2 linked regions of the Daphnia pulex genome follow. The protein of the gene in region 2 interacts with the protein of the main gene of each other region in a biochemical or structural test. Links are inferred from orthologs where the notes say so. Each region holds a gene or a part of one and is shown on either strand. Other genes may lie near its edges. The genes, in order: peroxisome assembly protein 12-like and peroxisomal targeting signal 1 receptor-like.

Region 1 (3,354 bases), on a different chromosome or scaffold from region 2:
CATTTGTAAAAGCTCGTTCACCGAAAATGTGAGCGAGTTTCTCTTATATCTATCTCTTTATTTTCACATTTCTTTCTCTCTTGTTTTTCTGATTCTTTTACTTTACTATCAACACTGCTCTTCATCCTCTTTTTTTATCATTCTATCACGTGCAATAGTGTTGTTTGATGATCCCACTCTTGCTTTCCTCTTATTATCCAATCGTGAATCGTGTAATGTAGTCAGCGAGTGGGGATCCATGGCGACCGTCTCCTGCACTCTTGTTCCAGTCCTCACTCCCTCCTCGTCTCCCTCCTCCCTCCCACCTTATACTTTTTATATGAAAGGAAACTTGCGCTTTCCACTCGATTGTTTCGGTTTGGCCGTCTTTAAAATTTACTCCGCGTTTCATGAAAAAGCTCGATGAAAACAAAAATACGGTGAACATTCCACATCCCGATGGTCATCATCTCGTACTTTGAGAGTGAATAAATTAATAAAACCGCGACCTCACCTTTAAAAAAACAAAATTAAAAAAGCATACATTTATGGAATAGTGAAAGAAGGGAAAAAGGACATAGCAAGAGACGTCGTATTATGTATTTATTTATTTTTATTATTACCTTTTTTCCGTTTGTGTTATGTCCTCGAGGTCTCAAAAGACGCCCAGCTATCCGTCGGTTACATTTGTTTGAGTATTGTTTCATTTGCTTGTGTTTGAGTAAAATGTGAGAAACGCTTCCCCATATATTTAAAAGATTTCGATGGAGATACCAGTCTAATAAATGATGCGATGGAATTCGTTCGTACTTATTTAATTATGTTTCTAGATGTATTTCAATCTTGTATTTATATGTATCTGTTTGAAAGTAAGTTAACATCAATATTGTGCAATTTGTTCCACAGGATCGAAATCTGCAAATCTTTGGGACGTTGTTTACTCGGCGTTGGCAAATATACGTATCAGGTCATTTGGGGATGCTGGAAGCTTGGAGATGGGGCATTTGTTATTCTCTTTTAGGTAGGGCAAAATACAGCGATAGCAGTAAACATAACTGTGAAAAAAATGGTGAGATATAATTACAGTTCGAAGTATTTCTTAATGATTTAAGTTACCCTGATACGCGAAGAACGCACTCATTTTTCCATTGCTGTTGACAAAGGGGACAAACACCAGTCCTTGGTTTGGAGTGTTGATTCTGTACAATGGAATGTGGAGGAGGTGGAATGGGTAAGGAAAGCATACTCTTAGCCTGTGATGACTGATTAGTAAACCACCACTCAAGAAATTGGATGAAGAAGGCACTCAGTTCAATTATTTTAGTGAGTGAAATGCCAGGGCTACTGTTGTCACCACCATGTTTTAACTTCAATCCAAGAAGGTGCAAAATAGGTGAATGGGTCACAGATTTGCCCCATGTATAGAGCATCCAGTTCACTAAGACTGTCAAATCATAGATGAACCGGATACTCGAAAAGTTGAGAACAGGATGTTGCTGGTTGTGCTGCTGCCTTTCTGAAAAGTAGGCATCTAATTTGGACAAGGCATATGGCAGAATTGTCAAACTGATTAGAGAGTGAAGTGTTCCTTTCCCATTCAAAGTGCAGTCTTCTTTTGTGACTCGTTCTAATCCATAAAAATTTTCAGCAAATGAAGCTCCTGAAAAAAAAAGCACAACATTTCTGTAAATCACAAAGACGTATTTCAAAAATGTAAATAAGTTGAAGAAAAATTATCAACAAACCATAGTTTCGTAGGTAATAGTTTTGCAGAAAACAATCAAATAGTAACTGAATTTCATTTGCCCAGCGAAATGATAAACCAAATGTTTCTGGATAATGATTAGCACACACCTACAATTGATATAGAGTTGGTAGTTCTTTTATTTCAATTGAATGTGTTACAAACGTACCCTGAAGACGAACTTTATGGTCCCACGAAGGGCTTGATTAAGTCCTTCCTGAGCAACTAACTCAAAAATCGATGGCCTACTAGAATCTAGAAGTAACTGACTTAAATGCGCCCCTCTTTCAGCCATAACGTAAGTACTCAAATTTAAAAACCTTGCTTATTCAAAAGAAAACGGCATAATGTTGTTTTTATTACATGAATTTGTCTTGCTTTTTTTGTGTCAAACAAAAATACAGCACTGTTTAAGGGCGTCCCTAAACTGCGAAAGCGAAACGCGAAACGCGAAACGCCTAAAATGCGAAACAGCTGTGCGAAACGGACCAAAATTTTGGGACCCTGTTTCGCATTTTAGTCTTTGGGTCCGTACTAAACTGCGAAATCGGTGTGTGCGAAACGTCGCAGTGTAAACGTCTTGGTAGCAGACGACAATGGACGCCGTCAACAAACAATTTGTTAAGAGTTTCAAATTTTCGAGACTTCGAGTTTCGCGCACCTTATGGCTGGTCCGCTGGTCTATTTGTGTGTTGACCATGAATACGAAATACCTTGAATGCAATATGCAATAGGTGTTTTTAATTAGAAGATTGGTATAAAAAAAATTAATGGAACTTCTCGTTTCCATGTATCAGTATCAATCAGATTAACATTCTTAATTTTAAGGAAAGTTTTAGCTGATTGAATTTTAGCTTGATTTGGAACATGGTAGCTTTGATTTTTAGCTTGATATAAGGCACTCATACTGTTATGGCCGATTCTTTCTTTGTGCACGTACCTACTGGTTGATTTAAATTATTTAATGTAATGTATAATCCCTGGGCCATTACCTAATATTTTATTATTTAAAAATATCACCATAACGTGCTGCTCTATGTCTTTCATTAGTTTAATAATCGTAAAATGCGCATGAAAACATACAGGGGTAGTGGCGAAGAAATCGAATTTGATTGCCCCCCTTCCTCCTTTAATGCCTCATCATAGCGGGAGACAATGAAAAATGGCGGCAATCTCCGTCAATTTGGACCTCTGTGATGAAAAGGAAAACTTTTTGTTTCGCAAGATGTTTCGCTCTTTAGTATGCCCTCCGGCATTTGGTCCCGCGAAACGGTCCCAAAATTTTGGTCCGTTTCGCACAGCTTTTCCGCATTTTAGGCGTTTCGCGTTTCGCGTTTCGCTTTCGCAGTTTAGGGACGCCCCTGTTTAACGTTATTGTTTTAGGTTTCTTTCCCAAGATGGCGTTCAGTTAATCAAGATATTCCGGGCCTAGATGTCGTTGGCGTCGGGCTGTGGGACGAACCAACCCATGTCTGACTGCACAAGTGCAATATATCACACAAGGCGTGCACCACTTTTCCTCTCGCGGCTTCCCTATTACGCTAGTGTCGTCTGGTGGGGAACGGCGACAACTCGTTTTCTGTCAACACCATTCTGGTAGGCAAAATGTCAGGCAAACCAATCGTAAAAAA
Region 2 (3,600 bases):
CTAAACAGGATTGGAGAAAGAAAATGTTAATCTTTATTACCTGTGAGCACCTAGGTTGATACAGGAAACTGCCAAGTTATAACGCGCGCGAATGAAACCAGGCGACAGCTCTAGAGCTTTGTAATATGACTCAATGGCCTCTTCAGATTTCCCTCCATTGGCTACAAATAACACGTAAATCATGCATACGTTCTTATGTAAGACTATTCTATGTAAGAAAAGCTAGTCACCTAAAGTTGCTCCGAGCCGATTCCAAAGCAAAGAATCCTGAAAATAGGAATTAACAATAAATAAAATCATAAACTTGAAAAAAGTACATGCAAATAATAAATCACCACAACTTACATTAGGTTTCATCTGAAGAGCAGCCCTGAAACAATCGGGAGCCTAAAAATTGAAGCAATGCAGCCAATTGAAAAAATCAAGAAAATCGAATAATTTCATAAATGCATCATACTTTATCAAAATCCCCAGAGAGATTGAGAAGTACGCCTAAGCCAGTTTGCACATCGGGATCTAAGTCTTGGGAAGGTTGTAATCGAGCTGCTGTTAAGTACATATCCTGAACTCGGTTAAAAGTATCCCTAGGTAGAATTTAAAACTCGGGTAAGTTTGCGCCGTAATATCACAACAAATTAGAAAATATTTCCTGTACCCAGAAACTAGGCTTGTAAATGTTCTCTCCCGTTCGTTAACCCTGGCTGATGAAGGAGAGGTCAAGTGTCCGTACTTGGGATTGTTCCGCAACCAGTCCTAATAATATAAAACCACCTTTAATGTTGTATGCCTTACACTAATTGGAAAACAATTACCTCCAGGGCTTGGCAAGCTTGCAACTGGTAAGATTCATTTGTGTAACTTACAGCCAGACCCATCATGGCAACAAGATTTGTTGGTTCCAATGCTAAGCAACGCTTGTATGCGGTAATTGCCCCTGGATCTTGTTCGTTTTCGGCAAGAGTCAACCCTAAAATAAAAAACAAGCTAACTTTACACAGAATCCTGGCATATAAATAATTAGATATTTTTACCAAGAACTTCCCAAGCTTTCACATGTTCAGGATCTTTTTTTAGAGCTGCCTCAAACAGCAAAATGGCACTTGGAAGATCACCTTCTAATCTTTTTTGGAGACCTGTATTGTAAGGATCCGCGTTGTCTTGGTACGGATTCTCTGCCTCAAATGTGTACTAAAAACCAACAGAAGTGAGAATCAAGGAACTAGTAAATACCATGCGCATTATTACTTCACTTAACGGATCTTGTTGCGTTTCCTTAAGCCATCCGTAGCTTGCAGGGTTGTCGTCGGCTGCTTTTTCCCAGTCTTGTTGAAGTTGTGACCAGAAGTCATCTTGAGCTGGATTTCCGCCCCTAAACACTTCAGCGCTGGCACCGTCTTTATATATGCAAAAAAAATTACAAGGATGAAGTTGATTAGCTACTTAAAATATATAACACTACCGCTGAATTCTTTTGTCCATTCGTCGGCCGAATCAGGTTGACGATTAGTTGTGAATTCAGCAGCCCAGTCTTGATCTGCACTGGATTCTGGCTGTCTTGTTACACCCTCTGAGCCAGAAAACTCCTCCGCCCAGTTTGAATTACTATGAGCGGTAGTAGTCCGAGGTTCCGAGGTCAAATCCTCCTCCCCTTGATTGACCTTGTGCATAAACTGCAAAAACTGAAAGCTTTTTTTCAGAAACTTTGGTCAGGAAAGGGATCATGCGCATAAAATATTACCTCAGATTGAGCAAATTTTGGATCTTTCATTCTGTCAATAATTTCTCCGGCAGTTTGGGCTAATGCGCCAGGAGCAGAAAATCCCGGTTTTTCTATATGAGAGGTTAAGCTATCCCAATGGTTGTCCCACTCTGCATAATCATCTACAACTCCCATATAGCCAGGACTGTCCAGAAACTCCTGACTCCATCCACTAGCAGAAGGTAAATCTTCTGGTATCACATGAGGTTCTTTCCTCAAAAAATCTTCAGCCCAGTTTTTGTCATCAAATGCATAATGGGCTACATTTGGTCCTGGTTGAATAGGAGGTCTAGCAATTCCTTGTGGCTTTTCCAGATCCCTCATCTCACGTAAAAGGCTATCCATGTTAAAGGCACCTCTTGATCCTACTTGAGATGGAGGTGGAATACCCTCCAAAAATTCTCTGACCATCTAGAAAATAGTTGAGATAAAAAAAAGATTTGTGAGAGAATGCTTTTTCTTTAGACAGTGAGTCAGGAATCAACTTACAACATCTTCTGGTCTCGGTTCAGGGTGTCTATGTGAAACAGGTACATCCTGACGAAATCCTTGATCTCTGGTAAAATGTGATGCTACTTTAAGCATAGGATTCCTTCCACCACAATTTCCATCAACTAATTCTCGAAACGCCATTCTAGGTACTGATGTCCGAGCTCAAGGTCTCCAAACTTCTTCCTGAATGTATAGCTACCTAAAAATACAAAACAATATATTAGTTTCTGTTACACATGTGTCATTAGAAATCATGTGTTACCTAAAAAGAGGGTCTAGCTCAAGAATGGTTCGGTAATAATTTCCCAATACTATTCATCAATATAACTTATGAAAGCAAGTTGTTAAGATATCGTGTGTATGTCTTATCACTGTAACTTCTATCACTCTGCAAAGTCACATCCACACCAATTTCGTACAACAAACAACAAAAGCCACCTAGTGAATAAAGGCCATGGTGGTATAGATGGCTCTGTCGGTCATGAAAAACATTACGACTTTTGTTCGAAATCCCGATCCGACGAGTCGTCAGCTCTGTCCTTCGTTTGGTGAAAATATTTTAGTCTTGAAATTCTGCCTAGTTTTGCCTGTCTATTGTAATTACTCAATACATTTAGTTTGAACATGTCAGCGAACGACGAATTAGTTGCCAATTTCCGGGAAGTAACTGGGATTGATGAACAAAGGGCTCGTTTTTACCTAGAGTCATCCGGTTGGCAATTAGAAGTATACTAAGACAGATTAAGAACAGTTATGAGCATTCAATAAATAAATCACTTTGATTCTCAGACAGCCCTTGCCAGCTTCTTTGAAAATGATGGAGCTATGGACAGGCAAGCTGGAGATGGAGAAGATGAACCTGTTGAAGTTCCTTCAAACCAACTTCCAGAACCCCCATCAAGGTATTAGTTAATATGATTTTTCACATACTGTAGTGCAGACCAAATTTTGAAAATTTAATTATAGAGGTGCTGCTGCTGTCCATAAACTTGTAGAAATGAATAGTTCTTCTGATTCGGATGAAGAGGGCCAAGCTTTTTATGTTGGAGGCTCTGAGAGAAGTGGTCAGCAAGTCATTGGTCCACCACGTAACAAGGGAAAGCCTTCTGGAGATCTCATTGGAGACATGTTCAAATCAGCCAGAGAGTGGGTTTACTCTTTGAGATTATTACAAGAAAAATGTATTAACATTTTCTGGATCCTAGGCATGGAGCAGAAGTTTTGGAAAAGGGGGCCTCAACCTCAACCAAGGGTAATCAAACATTTAAAGGAACTGGATATCGTCTAGGGCAGAGTGAAGAGGATACACAAGGTAGTTATCTTTGCCATGAAATAACAGCACCATGACA

Evidence for each region.
Region 1: the proteins of peroxisomal targeting signal 1 receptor-like (region 2) and peroxisome assembly protein 12-like form a complex in vitro, tested with the Homo sapiens proteins (2 studies listed by BioGRID). The link is inferred for Daphnia pulex from reciprocal best matches to the Homo sapiens genes PEX5 and PEX12.

What each region holds. Positions count from the first base shown.
Region 1 is NC_060025.1:2,868,826-2,872,179, forward strand, and holds peroxisome assembly protein 12-like, read right to left. Parts: upstream 2,175-3,354; 5' UTR 2,019-2,174; coding exon 1,893-2,018; intron 1,834-1,892; coding exon 1,725-1,833; intron 1,640-1,724; coding exon 1,096-1,639; intron 1,035-1,095; coding exon 917-1,034; 3' UTR 811-916; downstream 1-810. UniProt on the Homo sapiens protein: Component of a retrotranslocation channel required for peroxisome organization by mediating export of the PEX5 receptor from peroxisomes to the cytosol, thereby promoting PEX5 recycling.
Region 2 is NC_060028.1:9,644,747-9,648,346, forward strand, and holds the start of peroxisomal targeting signal 1 receptor-like, read right to left. Parts: upstream 2,696-3,600; 5' UTR 2,514-2,695; intron 2,451-2,513; 5' UTR 2,393-2,450; coding exon 2,249-2,392; intron 2,171-2,248; coding exon 1,739-2,170; intron 1,680-1,738; coding exon 1,460-1,679; intron 1,395-1,459; coding exon 1,246-1,394; intron 1,189-1,245; coding exon 1,032-1,188; intron 968-1,031; coding exon 813-967; intron 754-812; coding exon 656-753; intron 585-655; coding exon 458-584; intron 388-457; coding exon 346-387; intron 268-345; coding exon 231-267; intron 162-230; coding exon 41-161; intron 1-40. Other genes in the region: NSFL1 cofactor p47-like, read left to right, coding at 2,876-2,977, 3,041-3,153, 3,218-3,397, 3,457-3,563.